3 linked regions of the Notamacropus eugenii genome follow. The protein of the gene in region 2 interacts with the protein of the main gene of each other region in a pairwise test. Links are inferred from orthologs where the notes say so. Each region holds a gene or a part of one and is shown on either strand. Other genes may lie near its edges. The genes, in order: RD3, EHMT2 and KLF3.

Evidence for each region.
Region 1: the proteins of EHMT2 (region 2) and RD3 interact in binary tests that used the Homo sapiens proteins (3 or more experiments, as listed by UniProt). The two-hybrid records come from large-scale screens. The link is inferred for Notamacropus eugenii from reciprocal best matches to the Homo sapiens genes EHMT2 and RD3.
Region 3: the proteins of EHMT2 (region 2) and KLF3 interact in binary tests that used the Homo sapiens proteins (3 or more experiments, as listed by UniProt). The two-hybrid records come from large-scale screens. The link is inferred for Notamacropus eugenii from reciprocal best matches to the Homo sapiens genes EHMT2 and KLF3.

What each region holds. Positions count from the first base shown.
Region 1 is NC_092873.1:426,893,366-426,903,765, reverse strand, and holds the start of RD3 (protein RD3), read right to left. Parts: upstream 4,819-10,400; 5' UTR 4,366-4,818; intron 1-4,365.
Region 2 is NC_092873.1:85,596,158-85,606,812, forward strand, and holds the start of EHMT2 (histone-lysine N-methyltransferase EHMT2), read right to left. Parts: upstream 4,986-10,655; 5' UTR 4,970-4,985; coding exon 4,687-4,969; intron 4,429-4,686; coding exon 4,207-4,428; intron 4,101-4,206; coding exon 3,829-4,100; intron 3,727-3,828; coding exon 3,642-3,726; intron 3,509-3,641; coding exon 3,450-3,508; intron 953-3,449; coding exon 797-952; intron 410-796; coding exon 248-409; intron 175-247; coding exon 36-174; intron 1-35. Other genes in the region: ZBTB12 (zinc finger and BTB domain-containing protein 12), read right to left, coding at 7,757-9,190. UniProt on the Homo sapiens protein: Histone methyltransferase that specifically mono- and dimethylates 'Lys-9' of histone H3 (H3K9me1 and H3K9me2, respectively) in euchromatin.
Region 3 is NC_092877.1:92,692,367-92,703,175, reverse strand, and holds the start of KLF3 (Krueppel-like factor 3), read right to left. Parts: upstream 3,968-10,809; 5' UTR 1-3,967. UniProt on the Homo sapiens protein: Binds to the CACCC box of erythroid cell-expressed genes. May play a role in hematopoiesis.

The sequences.
Region 1 (10,400 bases), about 340 Mb from region 2:
ATTTCCCAGGGAATCACTAGTAGCCAGGGGAATTCAAGAAGGCCTTACATAGGAAGTATCATTTGAGTTGAATTTTGAATGAAATCAGGGGTTCTAAGAGAGAGGTGTCAAACACATGGTCCATGACCTGAATGTGGCATATAACACAAGTGTGGTCTGAACCAAATTAAAGTGGAATTGGAAAATAATTAACAAAATAAAAATACAATAAAACATAGATAATGTTAACATGTGGTTTTCTAAGCTAATGTGCAGACTGTAGGAATCCTTTCCTACATTTTAGGGACCCCCATTTCTATTTGAATTGTCTGGTTCTAAGTAGAAGAGATTAGGAGGACTGGTATTCCAGAGATCAGAGACAGTCTCATGAAAATATACAGAGGAACTTATGTGAGGAATGATGAAGCCAGTTTGTCTGAACCATGGGATGTGTGAAAGGGAGTGATATATATAATAAAAGGTAGGTTAGAGGAAGATCATAAAGGACTCTCGAGAAGAGGTTCTATTTGCTCTAGAGGCAATGAGAAGGGACTGAAATTTATTTAGTGACATGATCAGATTCATGACTTAGGAACACATTAGCAACTGTGTGAAGTATTATTGGAGGAGGAAAAGATTGTTTATAGAAAGACAAACAGGTGGCTATTGCACTGGAGCAGGTAAGAAGAGATGACAGTCTGAACTAGGGTGATGATTGTGTTTGTGGAGAGAAAGGAATGTTGAGCAATGAAGTGGAAGAAGAAATGAAAGACTTGGCAACTGGTTGGATATGGGGGTGAGAAGAGGGTAATTTAGGAGCTGAAGATGATTCTGAGGCTGCAAATCTGGGTGACTGAAAGAATGGTGCTGTCTTCAATGGAAATGGGGATGTCCCCAAGATACAGTATAAATACAAAGAAGTTATATTAAAAGAAGTTTTTTCCCTTTATAAAGTGAAAAATATTAGCACCAAAGGTGAGCCATACCACTCTTCTGTGCCTGTGTCACATTGCCTGTCCTTGACTGTAACTTTTTTTTTGGAGGGAGGAGAACATTTGTAAAGTACCTATTATGTGCCAGGAACTATGCTAAGGATTTTACAAATATCTTATTTGATCCTCACAACAATCCTGTGAGGTAGAAGCTATTATTATTCCCATTTTACAACTGAGGAAATTTACAACTGAGTCAGAGAGAGGCTAAATGATTTGTCCAGAGCCCCACAAAGAATAAGTGTTTGAAGCAGGATTTATAATTCCCTGCCGGGTCAATGAGTCTAACCTCTCTCCTTGGCTGACCCTCATGCTTCTTACAACACTTTCAAAAGTCATGGAGGCCCTGGGAATCTGTGGTTGAGGAGGAACTTCATTTGGTTCCTTGGCGGTTTTCCTAGCAAATGGATAGATTATGTGGGAATGGTGGAGGGAAAAAAAACCTACTGAGATTGTTTTTTTTCTATTATCCATGAAAGGATGCTCCTTCTTTCATAGGCCATGCCTCCAGTTCCATTCATGACATCAAGGATTTAGGGCTAAGACAATCTTCTGAGGTCTTCCAGTCTTGTTCAACTCCCTCATTTTACAAACAGAACAATTGAGGCACAGGAAGAATAAGCAACTTGCCCAAAGTCATACACTTCCCAAGTGGCATAGTCAGGATTCAAGTCAAGGTCCTCTTGCTCCAGATCCAGACATCTTTCCTCTACATCTCATCTTCCTCCTCCCTTCCCTTCTCTCTTTCTATCCCCTGCTCCCTTCTGTCTTCCCTTCCATTCTGTTTGTTCCCTTCCGTACTTCATTTTCCATTGCCTGTACCTTCCCTCACACACTGTACCTTCTGTTCTGCTTGTTTTTAAATATCTCTGAGGAGAAGGATGGCTCCTTCACTTCATGAAACCCAAGAGACAATGCTACCAGCTGTGGCTCATTAAATAGGTTAGAAAAATCAGAGACGTGCCTCAAGGGCAAGAAGGAATTTTAGTGTTTTCATTTCTCTTCGGTTACAGGATTATTAAAAGTCAGGGCAGGGAATGAGGGAAATCACAGCGAGGGCAATAATAGCAAAGTTTAATCCTTAGTGCATAAAGAAGGGTGCTCCTGACACTTTCAACAAGGCACGCCCTTCGACTTTTTCAGCTGGTCTTGGTTACAGATCATACAGAGTTACCCATGGCCATGGCCCGCCCTCCTTGGGACCAAGAATTCACCTTTATTAGGTAGCAGCCTGGGCCAGAAGTACAGACCAGAGCTGTAAATAACCTTTTCTTTTTGCAAATGTGGCTAGATCACATTAAGATCAATCCTTTCTTCTTCCCCTTTATCAACACTGATGTGTAAGCAAGAAAGCTAGACTTTGACATTTGTCAAGGCATTGGAAGCCAGGTATGATCTAGAGAAGAGTCCTGGATTTAGATTCAGGTTCAAATCTCAACTCTGACACCAATTCTGTGAACATAGGAAACTCACTTCCTTTCTCAGTGCCTCAGTTTTCTTTTCTGTAAAATGAAGATAAGAATACTTGGTTCTCATGAAGAAAGGGCTTGGTGACCTTAAAAGGCTCTCCAAATGTGCATTATTATCACCGTTATTATTCTTTATCTCTTCCATTAGATGGGAACTCCACAATGGAATTCCCAATGGCTCTTTCTACTTCTGTATAAACCCTTTTTGCCTAGGACAGGGTTCTGCATTGAGTACAAAGTATGGACTGATTCTTTGACCTAAACTTCATGAACGAGTCTCTGCTGATTTATTTTTTAATGTAGGGAGGTGGGCTGAGAAGACACCTTTCCAATAGTCACTAAAAAGGGCATGATCTGTCCTCCTCATGCTCCTGTTGTCACCAAAGCTCATAGACACCTTTGGGTGAAGAAAAGTGACCACTCGTTGAAAGGGTTTTGGAGTAGGAGATGTCTTTTGCCTTATCATAAAAAAGAAAAGAGCCTCAGAAAGATTGATCACTAAGCCAGGAGACATGTATAATTCATTGCAGACAGTCTTTGTCTACCCGCAGCAATAGTGTTACCAGGTAGATGGAGTGGCTGCCACAGAAATATAATCTTGGAGAGGATAAACTTCTTCATAAAGGGGGCCTTTTATCTTTTTGGTCTTTGTATTATCAACTAGAAGAAAAGTGCCTTGCACATAGTAGGCATTTGAAAAAATGTTTACTGGTTTGGATTAGAGGGGATGCCACATTGGGACCCTTGTGAAATACAAACAAGCTCTCTCTATGACCTAGAGTTACCACTCAAACTTTCCAACTACTGACTACAGTTGGATCCCAGAACACCCCTGGACTTAATACCTCTCAAAGCACCCTGATCTTCAATGCAAATATAAAGTAACCATATTGTGGCTTTATAATAGTCCCAGGGAACTGGACAAGAACATGCAGAGCTGAAATCCATAAAATATCCCAATTTATGTCTCTTTGCCTCACCCTTCATCCACAAACTTTGACCCAAGCAGCTCACAAGAACCAATGTGAGTCTCTTTTCATAAGGTCATAGATTTAAAGCTGGAAGAGATCTCAGTAGGCCATCAAGTTTACAAATAAGGAAACTGAGACTGAGAGAGTGACTTTCCCAGAGTGCCATGGCTAGTAAATGTCTGAGGCAGGATTTAAACTTAGGTCTCTCTGACTCCAAGTCTAGCACTGTATTCACTGTGACTCTTAGTTACCTCTTCTCCTTTCTCTTTGTCTAGCCCATCTCTGGGAGAGCCAAGAAAGAGGACAACTGGGGATATTGGATAACCACCAATCTGGCTTTGCTGGCCCTGAATGACAAAAATCTGATTCGATACAATTTCAATGACACATGATTCAGGGTTCCTAGTCAAGTACTTGAATTAAATCAGTAATGTTGTGGCAAATGTTTAACAACTGACTCTTTATGGAAAAATGTCTGCCAGACACACTTTTAAGTTTAAGCTGTGTTATTAATAATTTCAACAAAACAAGAAATTAAGCCCTTGACTTGCAGCATTTGCCAATTTCTAAGGTGTAAATGCTCATTCTGAAAATTTAACAGTCTGCTCTAGAGAGTTTATTGGAGCTGGGTCCAGCAAATCTCTGAAATTAATCAAAATGAACATTTTTGCTAAAGTTTACCTGGGTCATATTCCCAGCCTGTATTTAGAGAATTATTGACAGGTCTACCCAACTAAATTGCTCTCTCCCAGCTCTCATCAAACATATCACCCAGGAGGAACCAGTGTCTAGAAGAGAGGAAGGTGACTAAGAAATTAGTGCCTGGTACCTGAAGCCTGCCCCACAGTTGGATCAAATGAGGCATTAACTTTTGTCCCCCCTCCACAGTTATTCTACTCTGATTGCCCAAAGTGTTTCTTTAGGCACAGATGTCTAAGTGGGCAGACTTCTTACCTGAATTTCCAAAGTTGATTGAAATAACTGGCACCTTCTGGGCAGAGAGAGTGTACCACTTTCTGCCTCCAGTTGTGAAGAGGGGATTGTCAGATCCTTTCAAAGAAAGGCAAGAAGGTATTGTGAAGCCATGAAATGGTAGGCAAGGATGAATGAGCGTATGGGGGGAAGGGGAGGAGAGGCAGGGCAGGAGTGAATTAATCTTTTAACTAAGCTTCTTCCTTTCCTCTCTGCTCCTGCCGGCTGCTGCTTCCTCTACCTTTCTGTCCTTCTCCCTCCTCTTGAAGAGGAAAAACAAAATAGAATAGGTAGAAGGTCCCAGGGAGCACGGCTGTGGCTGTTTCTTAGTCTGTCTGTCTGATTGTCTGGTTCCTGTTCTCTAGAAGAGTCCTGGGAGGTTTGACTCACAGTTTCTCCCTGATGAACGGTTGGCCACATCCCAGCTTGTGATGCTCAGTTACCATGGAGACTCACCTAAGCCTACTTAGCTTTGAGAAGCATAATCCAGGGGGATGGGGAGGAAGAGGCTAACTGAGGCAGGGGTCTGAGAAGGTCTGAGACAGAACAGAAAAAACAAGTAAGGCAGGGAAAGGAGGATCAGTCTTGGAACAACCCCTTCCCTACTGGTGGGACAACTGTTGTCCCCTCAAAGAGTGTTGCTGTTCAATCGTTTCAATTATGCCCATCTCTTTGTGACCTCGTTTGGGGTTTTTTGGTTTTTTTTTGCAAAGATACCTGAGTGGTTTGCTATTTCCTTCTCTCCAGCTTATTTTACAATGTGGAAACTGAGGCAAACAGGGTTAAATGACTTGCTCAAGGTCACACAACTAGTGAGTGTCTAAACTCAAAAATATGAGTCTTCCCAACTCCAGGCCAGGTACTCTACCCACTAAAGCCACCTAGCCACAAAGAATAATTTGTAGGTAATAAGCAAAGGTCTGCATTTGGGGATTCTTAAGCCTGTTTCTAGACTGCATTCTTTAGTTCCTTCTGGCCTCAATCACCTTTAGGGTCCTAACTAAATCCATCATTGTCAAGCCCCGAATGTTCCTCCTTATTTGATGGTAACTAGAGGGAGGCAGCTAGGTGGGGCAGTGGATAGAGTGCCAGACCTGGAGTCATTAAGACTCACCTTCCTGAGTTCAAATCTTACCTCATAGACTTACTAGCTGTGTTACCCTGGGCAAGTCACTTAACCCTGTTTGCCTTAGTTTCCGCATCTGTAAAATGAGTTGGAGAAGGAAAGGGCTAATCACTCTGGTATCTTTGCCAAGAAAACCCCAAAAGGAGTCACAAAGACTTGGACTTGACTGAAACAACAACAAAAAGGTCACATGTCTCCTCTTGTTCCTTCCGAGAAAAGATCAACAAAAGATCAACCAGTCAACAAGCACTATCCCTCTTTCCCTCTATAGATACTGTGAGAATAAATTGATGAATCATATTGTTTTAAGCTACCAGAAGGAAAGTTTTCACTCCAAGGTAGAATGTGACTCTATGATTTTTCCTGGGAATATAATGGAAACAGGCACAGAAACAGTTAAATTCCTGTATTGATTGATAAACTCAGCTGACCCCCATACTCCTAAAATGGAACTGATTGATGGCATAAGTCTAAGGGCAAGGCTCCGGAGAACAATGAAAATCTCAACCCTCTCCTTTTTCCCAGTCCCCAATTTTTGAGGACCCTTCAGCGGAGAGGGGAAAGAGTCACTCTTAGATATTCCCTGTTTTTGGTCCAGTCTTCTCTGAACAGTTGTTCAGTGAGGATTTAATGTCTGCAGTGATGGCAAATTTATTTTTGATTAATTTGCCTGCAGGGGGCTTTGTGATTACCCTAACTAAGTGAGAATTTGTACTGGGAGAGGAAGTTGGGTTCTTCACTCCCCAGTAGGCATCAATGAAAATCGCTGATCTGTGGTTAAATATTCTACAATGAATCCACTGCAGAGACACAAATGGGGCCCAAACACCACTGCACAGATGGTGTTTGATGAATAAATTGGTGATGTGAAGTTAGATAGTGAGAAGAAGGGAGAGATGGAGAAGGGGGAGGGTGGTAAGATTTAAAGAATTATGAGAGAGAAGGAGGGGCAGCAGAGGGAGGGAGATAAAGGGAGAGAGCAGCCTTTAGCCAGATGTCAGCATTGCAGAAAGGATAGAAACATCTTTATGGGCCGCTTCTCCCCAAATCATCTGGGAGGAAGAGAAGATTTTAAGAAAAGCTGTTTTGATACAAAGCAACATCTACTTTGCCTAAGGATGCTAAGCCATTGCACTTGGAGACAAAAGACCTGGGTTCACTTCTGGTTCTGTCTTACTTCTTATGTGAATTTAGGCAAATCACTTCATCTCTCTGGGTCTTGGATTGTTTGTTTGAATCTGTAAAATAGGAAGACTTCTGAGGTCCCTTCCAGCTCCGAATTTATAATCTTTAGACCCTACTTGGGTGTCCATATTTGCATAGACCCCCCTCACCTTGGTCACTTTCTCATATTTCTTCCTCAGAATCCCAATATTTTATTTCCTCAGTAAAAAATGAACTGTTCACTCTCAGGAGTCACAGAATCTCAGAAATAGAAGCCATTATTCTTTTTACCTCAACGAGGTCCCTCCTAAAATATCCTTGACAAATGACCATCCAGTTTCTGCCACCCCCAGTGAGGTGGCAACCACTACCTCCTGAAATAGCCCATTCCATTTCAGAATATTTTTTTGAGTGAAGAGGCAATAATTACTCCAGTGGCCTACTTTCTGTCCTCCTGTTCCACCTGGTCAACATGAAGACATGGCTACACATATGGCCCTGTTGTTGCTACCAACCAGGGATATATGTGGTCTAGCTCATGCCTGCTAGAGAAAACCGCTTGTTGAATTTTCATTGTGGTCATCTATCCTTCAGAAATTGGCAAACACTATAAATCAAGGCTTGATTTATTGTTTTGGTGATTGTTTAGACTTAAGGAAGTGATTAAAATGTTGCTAGTGTAGATTAAACTTCCAAGTATGTCATGTATACATTTTTTTCAGAGAATCAGTTGTTAATTATTTGTTAGCACACCCCTGCTTCTGTGCTGTTTTGTTTATTTCTTCCTCCCTTAAGTGAGGGAGGATCAGAGATGGAATGGACTAGGCTTTGATCTTGTGAGCTTTGAACGTGGAGGAGATTGTCCAATGGGGAGTAAAAACGTGAGTCACCTGCTTGATCCAATATAGCAGTGGGTCAATTAGATTTTTTATGACTAGACTGTAAGCTCCTTGGGGACAGGGACTTTTACCTCTTTTCATATCCCCAGCACTTAACACAGTGCCTGGCACATGGTTGACACTTAATACATGCTCAGTAATTGATTGACAGCAGTGCAACAAAGGCAGTAAAAATGAGACAAATTTTTCTTTGGCTATAACTCATTCAGAAGTGAATTTGGTGGGGGTGAATGCTTTACAGCAACTGAGCCTCCCTCCACAGAGACAAAGGGAGTGTGGGAAAAGTATGCACCTGAGGGTTGAGGGAGGGCATGAAGAGATATTTTATACTGCTTTCTGCATCTTCTTTGGATATATCCCTTTGAAAAAGCTAATTAATTGTGTTTGGTTAAATGATACTGGAATATTAATCAATTGCATCAGTAGATTGAGGAGATTTTTAAATGGACCTGGGTTAGATTATATTGAAGAGATAATTAGCATTTGATATTAGGAAGAACACACTGGAATAGGGGCTTGAGTTGAAAGCATGAGAGAATCTCATCAACGGTCAGAGGTATCCTTAGACCCTTGGAGGGAAATATATCCCTAGACCCTTACAGGGAAATGTAGCTTTACTCGGGAGGATCTAACTGATCAATATAGTTGGGAGTTGTGACAAAGTCCCTAGAGTTATGAGGGTGACATCTAATTTTCTTTACCTCAAGACTACATCCGCTTCTTTACACTTTCTACCTATCGCTCTTAATCTGCCTTTCTGGAACCAAGACCGACAAATCTAGTCTCTTTTTCACATGATAAACTTTTAAATACTTGAAGATGACTGCTGTGTCCCTCCTAAGCCCTGTTTCTCCAAGCTAAACATCCCTCCTTCTATCAGACTATCCTCCTAGGGCATGGACTTGAGGCCTTTCACCTTTTTAGCTAATTTCCTACTTATCTGTGCTTTTCCTAAAAATGGTTTGGCCAAAGTTGAACATGATGCTCCAGATCTGATCTGACCAGGGCAGAGCACTTTCCTCACCTATAAAATGAGGGAGTTGGACGAGATGTCCTTTGAGGACTTTCCCAGCTGTAGTTCCATGATTCTTACAGCAAGTGGGGTCATCAGTGCCTTGTTCTGGACACGATGCTTCTCTTAGTGCGATCTAAGATCACATGCAGTTTTTAGCTGAAGAGAAGCAAAAGCTTTTCTTTCTAGTTCACCATATGTATACACAGAGTCCACTGAATGTCAAACAATAAGAGAACTAACAAAGGAGAGGTTTTAAACTCATAGGCTTGAAAGACAGAGCTGGAAGGGGCCACAGAGGCCATTTAATCTACCTCCCTCACTTGATAGTTGAGGAAACTGAGGCTCGTGGAGGTTAAATAATTTGTCCAGTGCCATGGTTAATTAATTCTATGAGGTGCACTGAGTGATGTAAATTAATAATATGCATGAACAAGATGTTTATAGATGTATATCAGATATATATGATATGTAGTTATATTTCAGAGATATCTATCTACATAGATAGATACTTATCTATGATCTAGATCTATAATATATTTATTTTATCCATGTTCTATCTAATAGGTATGTATATTTGACAGAGAATGAAGTCACAGAGACTAAAGGAGAAAACAACCCTCAAATAGGAATTGACAAGGGTGTATGTAAGCACATACATCAATATATAGATATGTACAGATGTGGGTTTATGTATATATATATATATATATATATATATATGTGTGTGTGTGTGTGTGTGTGTGTGTGTGTATGTGTATGTATATGTAGGTATATATAAATACACACAAATACACCTATACATGGGTATATATATCTATATCTATATATACCTGTAACTGAGCAGTTTTCTTTTTGGATTTTGTGAAATATCATGCCTAGACTCTTTTGTTCACATTTCTCAGATAATCCAATGATTCTTAAATTATCTCTCCTTGATCTGTTTTCAGGGTCAGTTGTTTTTCCTATGAAACAGTTCATTTTTTTTTTTACCATTTTTCAGACTTTTAACTTTGTTTTATTATCTCTTGAGGTTTCATGGAGTCAGTAGCTTCCATTTAGCTAATTCTGATTATCAAGGAGTTATTTTCTTCGGTAAGATTTTATACTGTTTTTTCCAAGCTCTGCCAAGAAAATCCCAAATGAGGTCATAAAGAGTCAGGCATAACTGAAATGACTGAACTACATGATTTATTCTTGAGTTTCCCAATCTGAATTCAGTCCTGTGCATTTTCTAGCTCAGAGTTGTCCAACTTCTGACTTGAGGGCCATAAGCTATTCCATAAAACTCCTGAGTACCCTATCATCTATCTATCTATCTATCTATCTATCTATCTATCTATCTATCTATCTATCTATCTATCTGTCTGTCTGTCTGTCTGTCTGTCTGTCTGTCTGTCTGTCTGTCTGTTTGTCTGCCTGCCTGTCTGTCTATCCATCCATCCATCCATCCATCCATCAGTTTATCTAACTATTGACAGAAGGAGGTTTACTTAGTCATGGCATAGAAAGGATACTCAACAAAGGTACAACATTTAGTTCAGGTTGATGCAAGCCCCTCACCTCCATCTAGAAATGTGTCTACACAGCAAGGGAAGATGTGGTGATTTGTAGTAATGAGGTCCTCCAAAGTCAAAGTGCTCAGTGTTTTTAGAATACCGATGTTACAAGCCAATAGTCTGGTTCATTGAGCTCCAGATACTGAGCTCCATCTACTCCAAAATTTCCCCATTATCTCTTCCTGCCTGTTCAGGGATAAGAGGGGGCTAAGCTAAGTCATAGACCTTGATATAATTTCAATGAGGAGCAGGACCAT
Region 2 (10,655 bases):
GTGCCCTAGGAAGACAGGAACTTAATCTGGATTACCCCGCTGCTCCTTGCTGCGCGGTGTTTCCCGCTTTCGACGTTTTCTGGTGGGCTTCACCCAAGGACTGTCCTTTCGCCATTTCTTCTTGGCTTTTCGTCGACCACTAGAACCACTCTGATGAGGGGGAAGAACAGGAACCTGGGTATGCAGGTTTATCTCCCCTGTTCCTCAGCCCAGACTTCCTTTACAGACCCAGATACCAGACCCTTACCTTATCGGACTGATTGCCAGACTCCTCATCTTCTTCCTCTTCTTCTTCCTCCTCTTCCTCCTCCTCTTCTTCCTCTTCCTCCTCCTCCTCTTCTTCTTCTTCCTCCTCTTCCTCCTCCTCTTCCTCTTCACTCAATGGATCGGCCAAGACCTCTGCCTCCGACTAGAAAGGGAGAAGAGGATAGGGCTATGGGAGGGTGACCCTCAGATCAAAGATCCTGTCCTTTGGGTGCTCTGATGGGGGAGTCTGACAGGGGAGGCAGTCCCCTCTGTTGGGGAGACAGAGATAGGACCGTTATGACCTCAGGGAAATGTGTGTAAGCCTGCGTGTGTGTACAGGTAGTTTTGTGTGGTAAATCAGGGAAGCATTCCTGGTAGTTAAAGTATGAAATGATGGTTGGAAGAACCAAAGAGACAGGGTCACAGAGAAAAGATTAAGCACAAAACACACAGACTCTCTAAAAGCTCTAAGGCTCAAGAGGCATCAGAGAAGTTGGCAGGAAGCTGGTGGTAGGGAGGTCACCTCAGCCCAGACCCAGCTGCTCCTTACCTTACTGTCTGAGTCAATTCGCTCATCCACAGAGTATGAGTCATAGTACAAACTGAAGCCTTCTCCTACATCTGTATCCCAGTCCTCCATGGCCTCCTGGTTTGCCTTCTCCAGGGCCATGTCCTCAGACCCCCCAGCAGGCCCCAGCTCTTCCAACTGGGAAATAAAGAGTTCCCCTTCCATGAAGATTTCCTGATTCCATTAGCTAAAAGTGTTCTCTCCCTCCATGTTTCTAGAATGATACTTTGTCAAGATATCTCCTCTAGCTTTATCAACTTCTATCTTATGATGTGTGTGTGTGTGTGTGTGTGTGTGTGTGCGTGTGTGTGTGTTGATGGATCAATCAACCAACCAACAAGCATTTACTAAGTGCTTACTAAGTTCCAGGCACTGTGCTAGGTACTGAGAATACAAAGAATGATACAATCTGTACTCTAAAGGAATTTATACTCTATCTGGAGGAGATATGTGTACACACATACACACGCAGACACACAATACAAGGCAATCTGAGAGACAGGGTACTAGCATTTGGGAAAATCAGAAAAGCTGAAGGTGGTGACTGAGTTGTATCTTGAAGTTCTGTAAGCGGAGGAAACTGAACAAAGCGAAGTGAGGAGATGGAGTGTGAAATGTGAGGAAAAGAGAAAAGGTCAGCTGAGTGTGGAAAGGGAACCTTACTGCACATTAGTGAAGGCAGGTTAGGGTTAGGTTATGATGAACGGTTAAAAACTAAAAGGAATGTATTTTATCCTAGAGGCAATAGGGAGCCACAAGAGTTTACTAAGTAGGGGAGTGACATCATTCAGATTTCTTCTACCATTCTCTCCTCCTTCACTCCTATCTCATTGGGTGAAATGGTCCTTTACTCTTTACCAAGGTTAACCCTTCTACTTGTTCAAGTGATCCCATTCCATCCTGTGTCTTTACAACAGACTGTCCCCCTCTGTCATCCTCAGTCTTTCCCTTCAATCACTCATTGACTACTGGCTCCTTCCCTACTAATAACAAACATACCATCTCTCTCCTATCCTGAAAAAACCCTCACTTCATCTTTCTCTTAGCTGCCAAATCCAATGGCCTTTTCGCTCGCTGTCCTCATTCTCCTTGACTTCCCTGCAGGCTTTGACAATGTTGATCACTCTCTCCTCCTTGATACTCTCTTCTCTTGAAGTTTTCCTGGCTCTCATCCTACCTATCTGGATCCACTTCCATGTCATACTCTAGGGTTTCCCTCAAGATTCTGTCCCCGGCCCCTCTTCTTTCTATATACTACTTTACCTGGTGATCTAATTAACTCCCATGAATTTAATTACCATCTCTATAACAATGTCATTCTGAAATCTACCTCTCCTGCCCCAATCTCTCTGCTGATGCCCAATCTCATATCTCCAACTGTCTTTCAGACATTTCAAACTGGATGTCAAGTAGACACCTTAAAATCAGTATGTTCAAAATGGAACTCATTACGTTTCTCCCAAACCACCTTTCCCCCTTTTCCCCTTTCTTATTATTATAGAAGGCAACACCATCCTCCCAGTCCCTCAGGCTCACAACCTAGGAGTCAGCTGGACTGCTTACTATGTCTCATTCTACCGTATCCAATCTGTTGCCAAGCCTTGTCAATTTCACCTTTGCAACAACTCTTGTATATGCCCCTTCTCTGACAGTTATTACTATGATAATATAGGACCTCATTACCTCATGCCTACACAATTACAAGAGCGTACTGCTGGGTCAGCCTGCCTCAAGCCTTTCTCCCCCCTCCAATCCATCCTCTATTGAGCCACTAATGTGATTTTTCTAAAGCGCAGGTCTGATAATGTCACCCCCCCCCCCCCAACTTGACAATCTCCAGTGGTTTCCTACTGCCTCCAAGTTCAAATACAAAATGTTCTGTTTAGCATTCAAAGCTCTTGTAAGTCTTCTTACACCCTAATCTGAAACACATATTCTTTGATCCGGTGACACTGGCCTCCTGGTTGTTCTACAAACAAGACACTCCTTCTGTGGGCTCTGGGCATTTTCTCTGGCTGTCCCCCAGGCCAATCATTCGCTCTAAAGACCTCCCCTTTGGTTTCCTTTAAGTTCCAATTAAAATTCCCTCTTTTACTAGAAGTCTTAACCAACCCTCTTAATTCCAGTGCCCTCCCCCAGTTAATTATTTCCTATTTCTCCTGTATATAACTCATATTTGTATACATGTTGTCTCCCTCACTGACCATAAAATCCTTGAGGGCAAGGACTTTCTTTTGCCTCTTTTTGTATCCCCAGCTTTTAGTACAGGGCCTGACATATAGTAGGAGCTTAATAAACGTTGATTGATTGATAGACATGGTTAAATCTCCTAAATGGCAGAAACTATCTTTCTTCTTTGTATCACCCTGTGTACCTTGCACTTAAAAAGGCACCTTAGTGTTTTAAATACTAGAGACTTGTACCACCCAAGAGTCAGTACCTCTCCCCTCCCCAGCCTTACTCCAGCTGAGTTGTCCTGTTAGCAAATCTCTTCTCTAAGGAACTAAAATATTCTATTTCCACACCTCTCTCCTCTTTCCACTCCATTTTAGTACTTGTTTTCCTCTCAAAGATGCTGGCACTCTGTTCTTAGCTCCCTTATTGCCCCTTGGTCCAGTCCCTGATGCAGCCTTACCAAGCCTCTCTTGTGGGACCCTGCACTTCCCAAGTCCAGCTTCCTCCTTTTGGCAGTGTCTGGAAGAGATAAAGTAAGGTTTTTCTCTTCAAACCTAAGCAAGATTTTTGATACCCCAAACCAAAGTTAACTGTTGTCCCAATGGTATAGGCGAGAAAGAAGCTAGAATCTATCTATGGTTGAAGGATATACCTGTTCCCATATCCCCCATTGAGTGAAGATCATCACTCATTCGAAAATGCTGAACTTCAGGGGGGCGTTTCTCAGGGACTGGAGGCTAGGGAATACACAGAAAGGAAGATAAGACTCCCCTCTTCCCCCCAACTCCCGCTCCTTATTACAAGATATACCTCTTCCCTTCCCTGCACATGCCCTTTACCTGTCCATTCCCTGGTTTGGACATGGTTTTTCGAGCTCGGTGGACCTTGGGCTTCCCTTCAGGGCTGGTGGGGGTGGGGGTAGGGGTCGGGGTAGGGGCAGGCTCAGGCCCAGCCCCAGCCCCTTGTGCCCCAGGCATGCTCAACAGCCGCATGGCTAAACTCTGGACTGAGGGAGGTGATTTCCCGGTCCCTGTCATGGTAATCTTCGCCCGGCTTGGGCAGGTGCTGCCCCCTTTGCTGGGGGACGAGGGAAAGGACTTAGTGGCATGGCCTGGACAACATGGTTGGGAGAGAGAGGAGGGAAAACGGTATGACCTGAGAGCCCAGTTCTCCCTGCTCCCTGAATTCCCCAACCTCAAGCTCTCCCAAATCCTTACCTAACAACATCCTACCACTGTGGATGCCCTCATCTCCCTCTGAACTCTCTGGCTCTTCACCAATGAGGGGTGTGGACCCCACTGGGGTGTCAGCACCCTCATCTCCTACAGTCACTGTGACTGAGGCAGGAGATGAGGGGCCAGTGGGTTCCACAGACTCGGGATGGTCCTGGGGTGGGGTCTCCTCTCCAGGAGACTTATCTCCTGAGGAGGAGCTAAGACCTGAGAAGAAAAAAGAAAGGTTGGGGAGTGAGGGGTGTCATGAATACCAAGATCCCCACAAGACACACAGACATATACACACACAGTTGGGGAACATGATTCCTTTCAGGAAGAGATCTAAGGGGAAAGGGCAACTTACCATCCTGCCAGGTTGTTCCAGATAGGAAAAAGAAGAGGGTATTGGGAAGCAGACTGCTTTCACAACAGGGAAGAAGAGGGGGCTGGGGAGCAGACATCCTGTATACACTGTATGCTTACCTCTCTCTGCAGTTCCCCGAGGTTCTTTCTCCAGCAGCAGCGCCCCCCCCATCTCACCAGGGGCCTCCCCCTGCGAGGGGAGACAAGGGGTAGGGGGACTGGTCAACCCGGCTGGGGGCAGAGGAACCCAGGACGCCTGGGTCCGGGCGGAAGAGAGCAGGCTTCGCCCCCGTCCCCGGCCCCGATGGGTTGCCCCTCGCCCTCTGCCGCGACTCCCAGGAAGTGGCCCTCGCCCTCTCCCCCGGGTCCGAAGGGACCCCCTCCCCCTTGGTAGCCCCCGCATCCCGGGAGCAGAAAGGAGGGGAGGGGGCGTGGCCAATGCGCCCCGGCCCCGCCCCCTCCTCCCGGGTGCTCGAGACGCTCCCCCTTTGTCCCCGGAGCCGCGGGGGCCCCGCGCGACACCCCCCCCGGCACCCACTCCCCCCCAGCTTGGCGGCCTGCCCCGCGCACCCCGTGCGCGTGCCCCTGGGACCCCGGCTCCATCCGCCCATCCGGGGGTGGCCAGCGGCTGCACGCGCACCTCCGTGCCCGCTTCCCCCGCCTCCCATCCCCTGGTCCCCTCCCCGGCCCCCGGCGCTGGCCCCCCGGCTTGTTGCAAGCCCGGCTCGGGCCCCCCGGCCCCGTTGCACCCCCGGAGCATTGCACGAGTGCGCGCTTCCCCCGGGCGCGCGCGCGGGCGGGCATGCACCCGCCTCCCCCCCCTCCCCTTCCGCACCTCGGCGGCCGCCGCCGCTGCAGCTCCCGCCGCCGCCGCCATAGCCGCTCGCGCGGGGGGCCCAGGAGGCGCGCGGCCGCCCGGGTCACGTGGGCCGGGGGGGGATGGGGGAGTTGTGAAAGGGGGGAGGAGGAAGAGAACCCTTAAAGGAGCCGTGGCCTATTCCATTGCCATTTTCCCGGGATAGGATCCCGGAGGGCTGCGGAGGATGCCCGGGATGGGGCTGGCGGGGGCGCTTCGGAGGCCACTTCGATCTGGCCGCCCCAGCCTTCACCATGGGGGGGCGAGCGCGGGCGCTCTGCCGGAGTGTCTGGACTGGGGGCGGGGGCCGCCGCTGCGGTGCGAGTCTATTGCCCAATAACTCCCGAGCCGCGGTTCGTCCGGTCCGGGTGTCCCGGGAAGGGGAAGGACCGTGCCTCTGCCTCCGATCTCGGTCCGGGCAGGAGCAGGAGAGAAGCCTTTGCTCCTGGAGGCGGGAATGGGGGTACTCCGAGACGCTCTTCCCCTTTACCTAGGGCTTTTACTCCCGGCTCTTATTGTGAGTAATTAGGGCTTAGTTAAAGACCACTCCAATCCCGCCCGGCCGTCCACGGATCTCTCCAAGAACTTAATTCAATCACAACTTCGCTAATGTCATCACGACCAGAAGAACAGACGCCGCGGTCCCAGCACAGACGGACGCCCCGCCTCAGCAGCCTGTACTACAGCCCTCGAACCCGGAGGACTCCACAGCCCCGGGCTCTGTGGGTTGGCACTGGGCACCCGGGGCCGCCTCTGAGGCCTCCTGGGAGCTGTAGTTTGCACAAGCTGCGAGCCGCCTCTAAAGTTTTCCGCCAACTCGCAGACTCGAAGTAGTATTGGAGAAGGGCCCCAGGGTCCATCTAGTTCGGGGGTTCTTAACCTTTTTGGGGGCGTCATGGACACTCCTTTGGCAGACTGGTGAGGCTGATGGATCCCTTCCCAGAAAAAATTTTAAAATTCGTAATTGAAGGAAATGCTGTTTGTTTGAGCTTAGTGGGAAAAAAACCCAAATACATTTCTACCCCATCCAAGACCATCATCCCAATTTGAGAACGCCCTGATGTAGTCTAATCCTCTCACTTTGTAGAAGCAATAGGCTCAGATGCCCCTTCTCATAGCTAGATAATGACAAGAGCTGGGACTGAAAGACAATGGCCCGACTTCACCATAATGAAGAGTACTTAGAATTTTGAAAAGTACTGCTGAAACGGGTTTACATGATTTTTGCCCACATGGTGAGGAGACCAGGAGGTGACTAAAAACACTGGACAGGCACAGGAAACTCAACAGAAGCAGAAGATGGAAGGCCAGGGTATTCTTAGGAAAGAGCTGTTGGCTGAAGGTACCAGGATGCTCAGAATGGAAAACTAGGGAATGGAAAAAGGAAGTATCAGACTCAGACAACAAACGTTAAGAATTTTTTTTTTATTTTGTGGAAAAGCGGAAACTGAGACTTCAGATTCCAGAAAACTCCTGAAAAATATGTCTGTTTCCTTAAAAAATACCATTATGTCTCTACCACACCCTTTCCCTCCCCTCCCCAAGAGCCTTTTTCTAGGTATTTTCCTTTTCTCCCCATATCCCCTCCCCAACCCTTACTACTTCTGACTTTTCTTATTTTGCCTCTATTTGTTTTCTAGTCTACTTCCATTCTCCTTTTTTCTTTCATATTATAACCATTTGTCACTTTTTGTCTCCTGAGACAAAAGCCCGTCCCAGTCCCCTTCCCTCCTCCCTCGCATGCAAAAAAAGACATTCTCTACCCTTTCTCCCTGGGACTTGTTAACCTTTTCCTCATAATAGTTGCTCTCCCAGGAATTTAAGAGGTTTCCCCTGTTCTATTACCACCCAAGGACAGGTATAGCTTTGGTAAGATACCCTCCCAATTCCCACCCACCCTACCTCAACTGAGTTGTCTTCTCTATAGCTTTCTTACCCAATGATAAAACCATCTTCTATTTCCCCTTTTTACTACTTACACCCTGCACACCATCCTCACCTCAATTATCTACTTATTCCAGAAAAGAGCCATCCCTCTTCCTGGGCCCTTTTATCCTAGAAAACAGGAACCATTTCTTTCCTCATCATCCCAAGGAATGGTTAGTTAATCTCCTCAGCAAGGTCTTTTAACCCCTTCTTATTCTCAGAGGAAGACCTGAGCTGTTCTTTTGTTAAGACCTCTGCCTTTAACCCCAAGATGTATGTTAACTCTCCTGGAAACAGAAAAGCCCCCTTCCCCTTCAAACTTCCTCCCCTTTTGGAGAGAGAATCTTTCATCACCCCCCTCTACCAGCAATCTCACCTCACCCCTTCCCCTAGTTATCCTTCCTCCAGCTAGTGGAGGAGGGCATTGAGCTCTGACACACTGGCATCAAGGACATTCTCTGCTGTGGTCTTGCCATGCTGCTCCTTGAGGTGTCGACGAATGGCAGGTTTATGGGCAAATCGCACATCACAGTAAGAACAACGGTAGGGTCGAGCCCCAGAGTGAAGGTTGAGGTGGTCGTGTAGAGTAGACTTCTGTGTAAAGCATTTGCCACAAATACCACAGGAGTGTGACTTGACACCTCGGTGAACGTTCATGTGACGGTTGAGGTTGCTGCTATGATTGAACTGCTTCCCACATCGAGGGCACATAAAGATGAAGTGCTGGGCTCTCATATGGAACACAAGTTTTTCCACACCCTGAAATACTTCTGGGCACTTGGTACACTTGATGTTCTTCAGTGGGTTTCCCACTGGGGAGCCCCCTGGTATAGGACTCCTCATGCCCCCATAACTCCCACTAACTCCACTGCTCCGGGACATAGTGGCTGCAGCTAGGGCTTCATCTCCCAGCCCAAGGGTAATGCCCTCCCCTACTTGACCTCCAGGAAACAGCAACAGACCCTCCCCTTCCGCATCTTCTGTAAGGCTATAGCAGGCCTTCACCACTCCCTGGGGTGCTGTGCTATCATCAGGGGCATCAATAGTTTCTCCAACTTCATTGATGAGGAGTCCGCTACTCCCTCCAAGGCCAAGACCCCCTCCAAGGTTAAGGTTCCCCCCAAGCCCAAGGCTCCCTCCAAGCCCAAGGCTCCCCCCAATGCCTCCAGGGGGCTTAAGCCTCTGTGCCACTTCCAATGCTGATTCCACCTTGACAATGCAGATATCTGATACATCCTCATCTTCATCCTCTTCTTCTTCTTCTGCCTTTAGCTCAAGATCCTCATCGAGGGGAAATTCTAGCTTCACTGGTCGGAGAAGAGGAGGTGGAGGAGGTGGTGGTGGGGGTTTGGGAGCTGGTTTAGGGGTTCGAGCGGGTGGGAGGAGTGACTTGGTGGAGCTGAGCCCAGTCAATCCAATCCCTCCACTGACTCCATCCTCTTTTAGGCCAATCTTGGGTTCAATGAATTGGCTCAGGGCATTTCTACATTTTTCTACCACGTGCTCCATTTGGAGATAAGAGGCAGCAGTCAGGTAGTTGACAATGTCCCGGACAGCAAACTCCAGAGCACCTGTATAGCAGGAGAGGAGGAGGTCTGCCACGATTCTGGCACTGTGCATTAGCGAGACCTGCAGCTCTGAACTGGGATTGAGGAGAAACTGGTCACGAAGAAATGGGGAGCAAGCTGCCAAGATAACCTTGTGGCCCCGGAACTTGAGGCTGTCGGCCACAATGGTGACATCGCAGAAGCGCTCTTCTGCCCGAAGCTGGTTCATGTTTCGAAGGGTAGCAGCCTCATGTCCTGGGAGCTGGAATCGCAAGACTTCCACTCCAGAGGCCATGGTACTGGGTGGGCTGGGGGAGTTCCCTGTGTTTGGTGGAGGGCAAATTAGTTAGGAAGCCGGTCTTTCCCCCTTCCCCAAGCCTCGGCCCCCTACTCTCACCTCTTTCCCGCTCCCCGGGGGCAGAGGCAAGCTACTTTCTTCTCCAGACCACCCCCTACCCCTCAGTTTGGGCTCCGTCCCATCCCAGGGGGAGGGGAGGGAACTCGAAGTCCCACGAGGGGCGGAGGTCGCATACTTTCTTCCCCCAAGCATCCTACCCACGAACTGGGGGCCCAGACAAGAGAGGGGGGAGGTGTGCTTGAGAGGTGTGTAGGGGGGAGGGGCAGGGATTTGAGGGTTCCCTTGTCAGGGGCACGCTCGCCCTTTCCCCGCCTCCCTGGGCACGTTTACACGCGCCCGTTCCCGGCACCCCCCACCCGTACGTGCCGCGCACGCCCCCCCATCCCCACCCCAGCACGTTACTCCCCTGCCCCCCAACCCTCGGGGCCCAGTTGCTCCGCAGAACTTGTCCCCCTGAACCCCTAGACCCCATCAGCAAGCTCGCCTCTCACCTGGATCGGTTCCACGAGCAGTTTTTTTTTCTTTAATTTCCCCGCCCCCCCGGGGGCCGGCGGCACCCACCACGCACTGGCAGGCCTGGGTGACGCGCAGGCGCAGGGACGTGCGCGCCCTTGCGCGCGGTCTGGCGCGCGACTCCGGCTCGGCGTGGGCGGGGTGGGGGAGGCTCGTGCCAGGCGGCTTGGACTCAGCGTGCGCGGCTTCGTCTACTGCGGCGGCGGCGGCTCCAGGAGGAAGGGGGGAGGGAAATGGGGGGGGGGAGAAGAGTGTGGGGTGTGTGTAATTAAAGGGTGCGATACCTCCCCACTTTTTCCCGCCGTTTCCACTAAGTTAAAGGGTCCAGGAGTAGCCTTTACCCCCCTTTGGCCAGTACTATTTGTCTGTCGGAGCGGAAATACGTCCCCCGTCGTCCCCCTCCCCCCCCCCCCCCCCGCTTGCTTTCTTACGCCCGCACTTCGTTCAGGAATGGGGCTGCGCATGCGTGCTGGTCTCGCGCCCGGGTAGTACGGGGCTTGGGTCGCGCGGATCCCTATGCTCCCCCTTTCCGGAGAGAGCTACCTTCCCGGGATCCAGTCGTGAGGAATAGGGGGCGTGGCTTTGAGGCCAAGTGAAAAAAGTGTATCAAGACTCCGTGTGGCAGGCAGCGTGCTAGGAACTGAACAAAGACAAAGCGAGCCGTATTCCTAGGACTTACACCCAGTGGGGAATACGGGAGTAGGTTCTCCCTCCTTTCTCAGCCACACCAGAGGGATGGGACAGGGTGGCCGTAGAACACGTACACGTACACGGATTAACTCCGCGTATTTTGAGGAGGGAGAGAACTATTGGGAAAATCAGGAGAGGCCCTTTCTGGGAGTTGGCGTCTAAGCTGAGCCTTGAATGCCTGCATGAATGAAAAAGTATT
Region 3 (10,809 bases), on a different chromosome or scaffold from region 2:
TGAGTTGAATGTCCTGAGCTAAATGACTGTTTGACTCACTGATGTTCTGAGGTCAGTCTGGTTCTGGCTAAATTCCTCAGTTTTAGGTCTAGACTGGCCCCTGGTCATCCCCAAGGACATCTCAGGCCTGCCAAAGATTGTCAGCAATTTCAAGGGGGTCTCAGAACCGACCTAGGTCCCTCTAGATCTTCCAGAAGACGAGGCTGATTCACATTCCCCTCTCTCTAATTCTGGCCTGGACCCAGGGATTTGGCTGGAATGGGCCAGCCTCAAGCATGTAAATGGTTTAATGCTCAATTAATTTACTACATTTTACTACTGTCTGTCTCTCACTCTTTCTTTTTCTTTGGAGGTGGGAGAGATGATTATAAAAGATGGAGAAGGAAAAAAATGGAAAAATGGGGCAGTACTTTGCTTGAGATAAGCAAATAAGGAGGGAAAAAGCTTCCCCATCTTGTTTTGTGTTTTTTAAATACCAGTTTATTCTGAGACTAAAAAATGTCACCTAAGCTGTAAGTATATAATAACTTCAAAACTGCACAGAAATGTCACATTTTCCAGAGTTTATATAAGACTGGTTAAAAATCAATACATTCTTATATAGAGAGGTATATAGAGGTCATCCAGACTTTTGATTCAGAATCCTAGATTTGCACAGCACTGTGTCTCCTTTATTTTAATAACCACTAGACTCCAAGGAAGGAGGAGAATGGAAGAGGAAAAAAGCAGTGGCTACCTCCCTTAGACAATACCCTGCCTTATCAGGGCAGACTGCTGTCTGGTTTCCTGTCTCTGCACTGGAGAGGAGAAACAAAGTCTAGTGAAGTGAACAGATCAGACTTCTAAAAACAAGTATGCTGAAGAGTCTAATAATCCTCTCATGCACATGACTTTAAAATTAATTTGGTATGGAATCACGTAGATAAATAAACCAGGCCTTAAGTTTTAAGGAAGAAATCCTGGGAAATAAAGGGGCTGAAAGTCTGGGCCAATTTCAATCCCTCTTTAAAGAAAAATGCCAAAATAATGCCATTTCCTAGTTTTTAAGGAAGAATTTTCTTTTCTTTTTCGCTTGCTCAAACAAAACTGGGTCACCCATGAATAGATCTGACAACAGGGTATGAAGTTAGCATCTAGGAAAGCTGAAGAACAAACAATCCAGCTTGTTAATTTTATAGAAAGATGGGGATTTAGAGAGGTAAAGAAGGTGGAGATAAGTATCCAAGGGGATTTCAATGAGGAAGAACAAAGATGAATGGAAAAATGATTAAATAAATGTGAATTTTCTCAAGAGATGAGGCTGTCTTTCCCTAGCATACCAATGTTTGCTAGTAATTAGAATGACTGTATCAGACATCACTAAAATTTCCCCCCATTATTTTTGAGTTTATCATTTAGAAGTTTGCTAAAGTTTTATCCTTCTGGTTATCTGTCATGTTGCCTCTGAAGCCAAGGATCATTATTAGATACCCCAAAGGGAAACAATGATGAAAGAAAATTCAGGAAGAGTTAAAACTTCTGTCTGAAAGCATGTCTGCCAAATACCATATTTTGGACTGGAAGCAAGCAGCTTCAGAATGAAAACACAAAAGTTTCGGATTTTTAAGGGCTCACACTGCCCAAAGCAAGGCTTAATCTCTAAAAAGTTTGCTTTCCCTCTCCCCAAAAGAAAGCACAATTTTAGCCCCTTTCCAAAATCACATCTTCTGCTAAAGGAAAGCTTACCTTTTACTTAACATACTAGGTTCCACAGCTTTCTTACCATTTAAGTCATAAAGTGAAGATGAGGCGGAAACTGTGCTGTTCAAAAGCAGACTCCTAGATTTGTCACATGAGATTTTTCTGATACTGAACACAAATTATATAAAATTATTTTCTATAAAACTTTACGGATGAATACTATTACACAGAAGGATCTAATCTCATTCTATGATTCTCTCCTACTGAAAGAAAACTTAAAACCCACTGAAGATCAAGTCATAAAAACTTAACAAAAATTAAATTATTTTTCTTCTAAAACTTTTCCTTAAAAATTAGTTTCTGTAGAGCTAAGAGAAAAGTAACTTATAAATGTTCACTTTTTTAAAAAGTTAAACTAAAATGCTGAACAGCAAATAGTATACAGAAAAAAAAAAAAAACTTATAGCAATCCATGGAATGATACATAAAAGTGGTCAATGATCCAAACAGCAAAATTCCCCTGATGAAGTTCTTTAAAGGACCCAAGAGTTCCAAAGCATCATAAGTTTCCCTATTTCCAGGTCTCCTTTCCTTCTCATTTTTTCATTTTTAATCCTTTTCTCAAGTCAGACCGAGAATAATAAAAAACTTGATGTCCCCTTAAAAAATGCACCTTGGTCATTCACACAATGCAATAATAAAAAAAAAATGTGTTCTTCAAAATGCAAGCAGAGAATTCAAGATGGCCAAGAGCACTTGAATCCTCCAATTAAAGAGTAACCACCTATGTCTGAAGTGTCTTGTGTCAAAACTGAAAAAAGTAGACCATCTTTTCCAGATGAGTCTTCCCTCCATCATCTGCACAAAATTTATCTATGGTTAATCCTAATCCAGAAGTGGTATCCTTCAGGGCAGAATAAAAACAAAAACCACCCCTAAGAGAAAACAAAACAAAAAAACCCTCAGATACCTCCCAATAGTGCATATGCATCAAAAATCATAATTTGGGATTGAAATAAAAATGGAAAATTAATCCACACACATAAACACAGTGAAGTAAAGGGGTGTGTGTGTAAAAAGGTTAACTGACTTCTCATTATGACATAATACAGGCATCTTAAGCAATCATGAGTGTGTGGAGACATGATAACTCCCTGGGTGGGGATTGGGAGTTAAGGGGCAGGGACAAGGGGCCTGGTCTGGGCTACTGATCTACCAGAAAACAGCCTGAAACAGGAAAGAGCACACATATGCCACTAGGAATGTATGACGCAAACCCCAGCCTTGAAACAAAGAACAGGAAACAGCTCTGCTAGCTGTGCTGGAGAGAAAGCACAGAGAAACATTTAGCCGGCCCTCCCTGACCCTATATTCATGAGCAGCTGGAGTTTTTAAAACAACAGGGGGTGGAGGTGTTTGTTCGAAGGGTGTGAATAACAACACCGGCCTATACGCGGGACCTACCCTATTTACAAATATAAGCAACCACATACAGTAAACATCAGAAGTGAACATTCAGACAGGAGAGCCCATCATAACACCAGCCTTCCCTCCCGATTTCTTTTGTCCCTTTCTCCTATCTCAAGGAGCAAGTAGCAAGTGGTACCCATTTTTTGAATTGGGTAGCCCATTATGTTTAAAATTATGGCTCAAAACAGGTTGGTCTGTTTGTTTTTTTGGGGGGTAGAAGACGTGGAAGACTGAACAAATCAGTGAAGAACACAGATTATATATCCATTCCCAGCATTACTCTGAACACAATGGGATCACAGTTACTAAAATACTCATCAAATCAGGTTCATTCATTCATTCATTCATGGTTCTGAACTGCCAAAGCAAAAAAGGTAGGAAACTCAGAATACTCCTAAATTTCACTGTATTGTCACATAAACTCACACATCTACTTGAGATTTCATTAGTAAAGACGTTATGTAATTTATTAGATGATACTAAATTTGTTAATGGAAAAACAATTTTAAAAAACTTTTAACTATGTGACCCCTCCACCCTTATTACCTTTCTTTACTTAAATTATTCCTTTGCTGCCTCTTAGAAATGTCAGACTCTGCTTCCTTTAGTTAGATATTTAGGAAGCCATGTATGGAGAGATAACGAAAAAGTAAAAAAAAAAAAATGGCATCACTGTGACCATAGTAACCACAAGCATTGATCTGGATTTAGAAACTTTCCAAATTACAAATAAAGTAGACACATCTCTACACAGATAGCTATAGCTATTTTGCTACTTGCCCCAATATCTGGAGCTCATCTCCCTTTTTTTATACTTGTTTTCCTTTAATCAAACAAAAAGTCAAACATACGAAATGACTTACGTTGTACAAATACATCTTCATGGACCACACTACAGAACACATTTGATGTACAAATATTTTGCCGAATAAAAGCCTCCTAGCTTTGAGGATGAATAAACTGGGTATCCACAAAATTCAAGAGAATAAAAAAAACGAAGATTTTTACAACAGCTAAAGTCAGTATTGTTTCAACTCAAGAAACCTCTTTTCAAAATCCCCTGTTGCCCCCCAAACGACTGAGCCGAGCTCCCCACAGTTCTCGATGTTTCAGTGGTTTCAGACTGAAGCCTCCCCCACCCCCAAATCCTCCTTAGGGGTAAGGCAGGCAGGTTATCAAGTCCAGATGTTCCTCACTCCCAGCTACTCTGTGGAAAAACCTGTTGGGAGCAGCCACCCCATCCTCGGATAACGCAGGACGCACGCGGCGAGGACCTCTTTACACTCCTCACCGAAATTAAAGGAAAGGGGGCGGTCCAGGGCGTGCCGAGAACACCCCGCAGCCACCCCGAGGTGCCCGCAGGACCCGACGGCCGGAGCCGCGGCTGCCGCTCCCGAGGCCCCCATCCGCAGCCAGACCCCTGGGAGGGAGCCCGGTCTTCGCCAGCCGAGTCTCCTGCTCATTTCCCGACCGAAGCGAAGGGGTCCTAGGATTTAGGAACACAAACCTGAAGTGGGATGGCAAAGACAAACCCCATTTTCCCTGTCCTACAAGGAGGGGGGGCGTTTCTCTCCTAAATGCCCTGCTATCAGCCCGACGGCCGCGCACACGCAGGAATGCAGTCCCCGAAATCGGAGGGGGCACTTTCTAGGACTAGCGGGCTCCCCCAGGGCACCGGGCTGAGCGTCCAGGCAGCAGGCGAGGCGGCGGCGGGGCACGCAGCCCGGGGGGCAATGCCGACAACATCCCAGCGTCTCCCCCCTTCCCGAGGAGGGGCCGGATCAGCCCCTGCCCCCCCGCACCACCCCCAGGCCTCCCGGTTCCGTGTCCAGTGACAGTGCGGCAGAGTCCCCCCCTCCCCCCCAGCTCCTCCCGGGCTCCGCCGGAGCCGCAGCGAAGCCCCGAGGAAAACTTCCGACGCGGACCGAGCCGGCGGGGGAGGGGGAGGGGAGGGAGCGGGGGTGGGGGAGGGGGCCCGCGTTCGCGTGCGTCCAGTCCACCTTCCTTGAAACAAGGTTGCAACTCACAGATTTCTACGAGGGGGAGACAGTTACAGACCACGCAGGTGTAGCAGCCGGCCTCCCTCCTCCGTCTCCTTCCATCCGCCCCCCATAAGCCCGGTCCCTCGCCGCAAGTCCGGCACCTCCGCTTCTTCGCGCACCCCGCGGCGGGGCAAACCCCGGATCCGCACGGGCTCTCATCCATCCCACACGTTCGACCACGACACCCGGGGCCCCGGCCTCCCCCTCCGGGGCCATTATCAGTTGCACTTTCTACCCCCCCAACACCGACTCCCTCTATCCCGACACGTCCACGGAGGGGGGATGCGCGAGAGCGGCGAGCGCAGCTCCGAGGGTCGGTCCGGAGGTGTATTGTCTCCACCGTCATATCTCGCATATATATACAACGTCAGGAAAACTTACTTGGAGCGCCGCGGTGCTGAGCGCAGCAGGCAGGAAATAAAAGCCCGGGATCAGGGTTTCCTTTAATCCCCCAAATGCAACAGTGTCAGCGGAAAAGTCCCGCGACCACGCGCGGCCGCCAAGGATGGGGAGGGGGAGGAGGGGGGAGAGAGCGGGGTCGGGAGGGAGGGCGCGGGGGGCGGCGGGCCCCGTGTCCGGGCGGATGGAGGTGGCCGCCTCCCGGCTCCGGCTGCCCGGCTGCCCTGCTGCCCTGCTGCCCGGCTGCGGCTGCAGCTCCCGGCTCCGGCTCCCGGCTCGGCGCGCTACGTGCTCGGCTCCCGCTGCTCGCTCGCTCGCTCTCCCCGCCGCGCTCAGTCTCCAGGCTCCTGGCACCAAGTCCGGGGCCGTCACATGACGCCGGCGCCGCTCGCTCTGCGAGCCTCCCAGGGCTGGCCGGGTAAGTAGAGGCTGGGACCTCGGGTGGGAGGGTCAGGGAGGGGGAGAGAGAGGGAGCCGCCGCCGCAGCCCGGGCAGGGCGGGGCGGGGTCCCCACCCACTAGGGTGGAGGCAGCGGCGCGGCGGCCGAGAGGGGTCGGACGAGTCACTCACACAAACACGCACGGACTCCCTCCGCCCCTCCCCGCCGCCCCGCCCTCCCCTCCCCCTCCCGCCGCCCCGCCCTCTCCTCCTCCCCCTTCGCAGTCACCCAGGGACAGACTTACAGACACTCGTTATTATCCGGAGCCGGGGTTCCGCCCCGCATGCCGAGCTCGCCCTTCCCTGCGCCGCCGCCGGGGGCCGCGGGGCATTAGGCGTGCGTCCGGCCCGGCGCTCCGAGGATCCCCTCCCTCTCCCCTCCGCGCCCCACCCCGCCTCCCCAACCTGCCGCTGCCGCACCGCCCAGGGCCCGAGGGGAAGGAAGGGCGGTGCTGCCCGCTCCGAGGCGTGGCGGGGCGGCCGCGGCCTCTGCCGGCTCCCCCCGCCCCCGAGGTGGTGGGACCCGCAGGGATGGATCCTGCGCTGCCCGCCCGGAGGGCCGATGGGGCCGCGCCTCGGGATCCTCCGGACGTCAAATGAAATTAAAAAACTATCAAAAGCCCGGGGGGTGGGCGCGTGGATGGAGGAAAATGCACGTGGAAGGGACGGTGGCGGGGGGAGGGGGGGACGAACCCAATCTAAGGAAAGCCCGGAGTTTCAGGTTCATACAACATCCTGTTTGCCAGCGGGCTCCTTTGTGCTCCGGGGCTCTGGGAAAACTCCGCTCCGTCCCGGAGAATGAGGAAGGGTGGGGGATGGGCGCGGCCGCGGAGTCCCCGTCCTGCAGCCTCCTCGTCTCCCCTCCCCCACCGACCTCCCGAGCTTGCAAAGCCTCAGGCCAAGCATCTCGGAGCGGGGCTCTGGAGCCCGAGGTAAAAGTCCTGGGCCGGCTGATCAGTTACCTTGTTTCTTCTTGCTACACACTTGCCTGAAAACTTTCCCAAAGTGGTTCAGGTGCGTCCCCATCTCAAAGTCGGACGCGTGTGAGTTTGGTGGGGTGGGGCTGAGGGGCTGCTTTTCCACCCATGCCGTTCCAGTGGGAAGGGACCAGGCTCTGCGTGTACTTTATTCGGCTTGCTACACCATGTGTATGCCAGGGATGGCTGCGGATCCTGCTCTGCTTTATTTGGAGTCAGGGCCTGGACAGTGGCTTGCTTGTGTATTTAATGCCTTTGGATTTTCTTTTAAAGCAGTATTAGCGTAATAAAGAATGCAATAAAAAGAACAAAGGACAAATTGGTTCAATTGTTTTAGTGCTGTGTAATATTTGAAAACACCCCTGCTTCCATCTAGGGCTTTTTATTGATTCAAGATGTTTTAAAAGGCCTCTAAGTTCACCCTTATTTTGCTCCTTCCTCTAGGCCCCATACTACATAATAAGCAGAAATATATTATAAACCTAGTCCTAGAGGTCCTATTCTAAGAGTAGAGGGTTATCTAAACGTAGTGAAATTTTATAAGTATCTTGTACATATAAAAATTTTACCTGGAGACACAAAAACAACTGAGTCACAGTGTTGTAGCATGGTAGAGATTTGTACATATACTTCTGAAGTCTGCCTCTATAACTCATATCTTTGAAATATGCCTATGACATTTAAAACTTAAATTAGGAGTATTTGGGTTGGGTACAAGACAAATCCAAAGTAAAAACCAAGTTCCTACAGAAATGCTTGCAATTGATTTACAAACCTGTAAACTTGACTCAGAAAATTTGGGGTCTAGTCATTAAGTAGTTTAGGGCAAGTCTTACCTTTCTTAATCCCCAATTTCCTCATCTATACAACGAACTTGGTAATATTTACTCTAATATTTTGCCTAACTCACAGGATTAAAAGCAAACCACTTTATAAAAGGCAAAGTGCTGTGTAAATGTGGGTATTAAATACTATTGAAAATTAGCTCAAGTCCATTGAATACCGGTGACTTTGTTAGACTGATGGAGTTTATTTGTGGTGTGTATTTACTTACTAGATTAGTTCAGGGTAGGTTTAGAGTTGGAAACTTTTATCTATAAAAATCTCTTTTCTATTGTTCGTATGGATGAACAGGCCAGAAGCAATAAACAGGCAGTTATTAAGTACCTTCTTTGTTCCTGATTTGGGGCTAAGTGTGTTGAGTGTGAGTGTGTGATGCAGAAAAGGTGGAGGTGAGATTCAAGTAGGGAAAGAGGGGGAACTTGGAGACTGACAGCTGGATATGAATGAATGATTCATCAATGAATATTTATTTAGCACCTACCCCATCCAAGGTAGTATGGAAATAAAAGAAATAGAAGTCATAGTACCTACCATCAAGGTGCTTCCAATCTAGATGGGCCAACAAGAAAACAGCCAAGGGCTCTTGGAGATTTAAAGCTAGATCCTATGACCTTTGCACAAGGCAGTATATGAGTGATAGGGCTAATCAAAGTTAAAAGAGTTCTAGAAGAGGAAAGCTCACGTGGACTTGGATGAACTTCATAGAGAAGACTGGAGGTAAGCTTCGAAGGATGGATAGAACTTGGACAAGCAGAGAGAAGTGGAAAAGGGAGTAGGGGTGGAGTACTGTGAGCTAGCTAAGCTATAGTAGTAGAAGAGGAAATAATGAAGCATATTTAGAGAAAGGTAAGTTGTCTAACTAAATAAAAGCAGAATAATGACAGTAGGTTGAGGCCAAATTATTTTGTATTTACTTCTGTGTGTGACTGCTCTGTCTTCCAAGTAAACTCTTTAAGAAAGCTTCGATTTCTGCCTTGGTATCCCAGGGCTTAAGGACACATTGTGTTGCACATATTAGGAATTTAATTAACAAATGGTTGGATTTAATTGAATTGAAAGTTTATAAAGTGTCTGATGGCCATGGGGGAGGGGGAAAGGATAAAAGAGGAGCTTTTGGTACAACCCTTGCCCTCAAGGACCTTACCATCTTGCTGAAAAGACAAGGCTTGAACACATGAAACAATTAGGGAACAATTGAATAAAATAGCATATAATAAAGTGCTAAATTAAATATAATCTTAGTTTGCAACCTATTATCCTTACAGACACAGACAGGCATTCATGATCATGTTTGCGAGGGGTAGCCTACCTTCCTTACATTCAGCTATCCAGTAGGTCCTCCAAACATCTGGACTTTTGTCCTAGAGTACCCAAGAATACACTGGCTAAGAGGCTTGAGGTATAGAGACAAAGGAACATATGCACAAAAGTGGCAGTAGCCACGCCTTTTCTTTCCCTCCTTTTCCCCTCTGACCTCCACCCTACCCCACCCTGCTTAATGAGAGAGGGAGTGGACTCCTTTGGACTGCTGACTTCACTTCCTAGGAAAGATAATAAATACTGTTTGAGTATCTCTTATGTGTGCCACACAGTACAGAAATTTGCAAAGTGGCTTTTTACCTGCCCTAAACCTTCCGAAGCCCCCCCGACCATGTACCTAGGGAGAGGGAGGGGGAAAGAGCATACTGCCTTTGAATCTGGTTTCTCTACTTTCTGTAAATAAAAATGTGTTTACTTTAAAGCCTTCTTTAAAAAAAAAAAAGGGAAAATGCAAACCACGATAGAAAAAGCTCTAAGTTCCTTCTTTTCAAGAAGCAGAAATATACTTGCTTGAGCACAAGGTCCATTTCTCCGTCTTTGGCCTTTCACCAGGATCTGATGATTAAATGTAAGACAGAAGAGTACCTACGCCTGTGAACTGAGAAATTGCCTTTTAGCTTGCGGACAGTCTTCATGGGTGTTAAGGTCCTTCAGAGCTAAATTTCTGAATTGAGGATGTACTTAATTTGTTGTCATTCTTTTTTGCTTCTCAGAATCTCTAAATAGCAGGGCCAGTTTTAAGAGTACCTATGACTTCCCATCTTCATTTCCCATGGACACCCTGCTTCCCCTTCCCCAACCAAGCCCATTCCCCACCCCATTTCAGTCCTTTTCAGTATGTTTTCTTTCTCATGATGATTTTGGATTTGCTTTATTTAGGGATCTAACAATCATGATGTAATCAACTTTTGTTCAACAATCTATCCAAACATCTTTTAATGTGTACTCCTTATGTACATATTTTTGTTTCCAATCTTGTGTCAGTTAAATGCTTGGCAGCCAAGTTGATGGAAAGCAGGAAGGCAGGAAGCTCTGAGTTCAAATCCTGCCTGTATGTCACTTGAATTCTTAGCCTCAGTTTTCTCATCTGTAAAATGAGAATAAACGATACCACTGCCCCAAAGTATGGTTGAGATAATAGATATAAAGCATTTTGCAAACCCTAAAGCTCCATAAAATGATGTACTAGCTCTTATTGTCTTAGAAGTGTAAAATTTCTGGAAATTTTGAAACCATGGAGAGAAGCTTTTTTCCCCCTGGGGGTTAAAACAGAAATCTGAGCTTCTCCTAGGGACCTATAATATTATCCTCTAGGCAGAAAATTCCAAGCTAAGGCTGAGGCTGTCCCCAAAGGGAGTTTTGTGCTTTGTGTTGCTGGAGAGTTAACCCCCTTCTGATTAGACTTGTGGAGACCTCAGTGGTAGTGCTAGTCACAGGCAAGGTTCCTTTCAGAAGGGCATGCTTTGTTCTTTGCAGCTCCCCCATCTTCTGGGCCAGATGCTTTCTGTTCTTTTCTTAATGAGGCTTGTTTCAGGAACGTGAATGCCAGAATCACAGAATTTCAGAATTAGAAGAGAATCTCACTAGTCATTTTTCCAACCCATATGCAAGGAATCCCTAGTGGGGATCTAGCCTTTCCA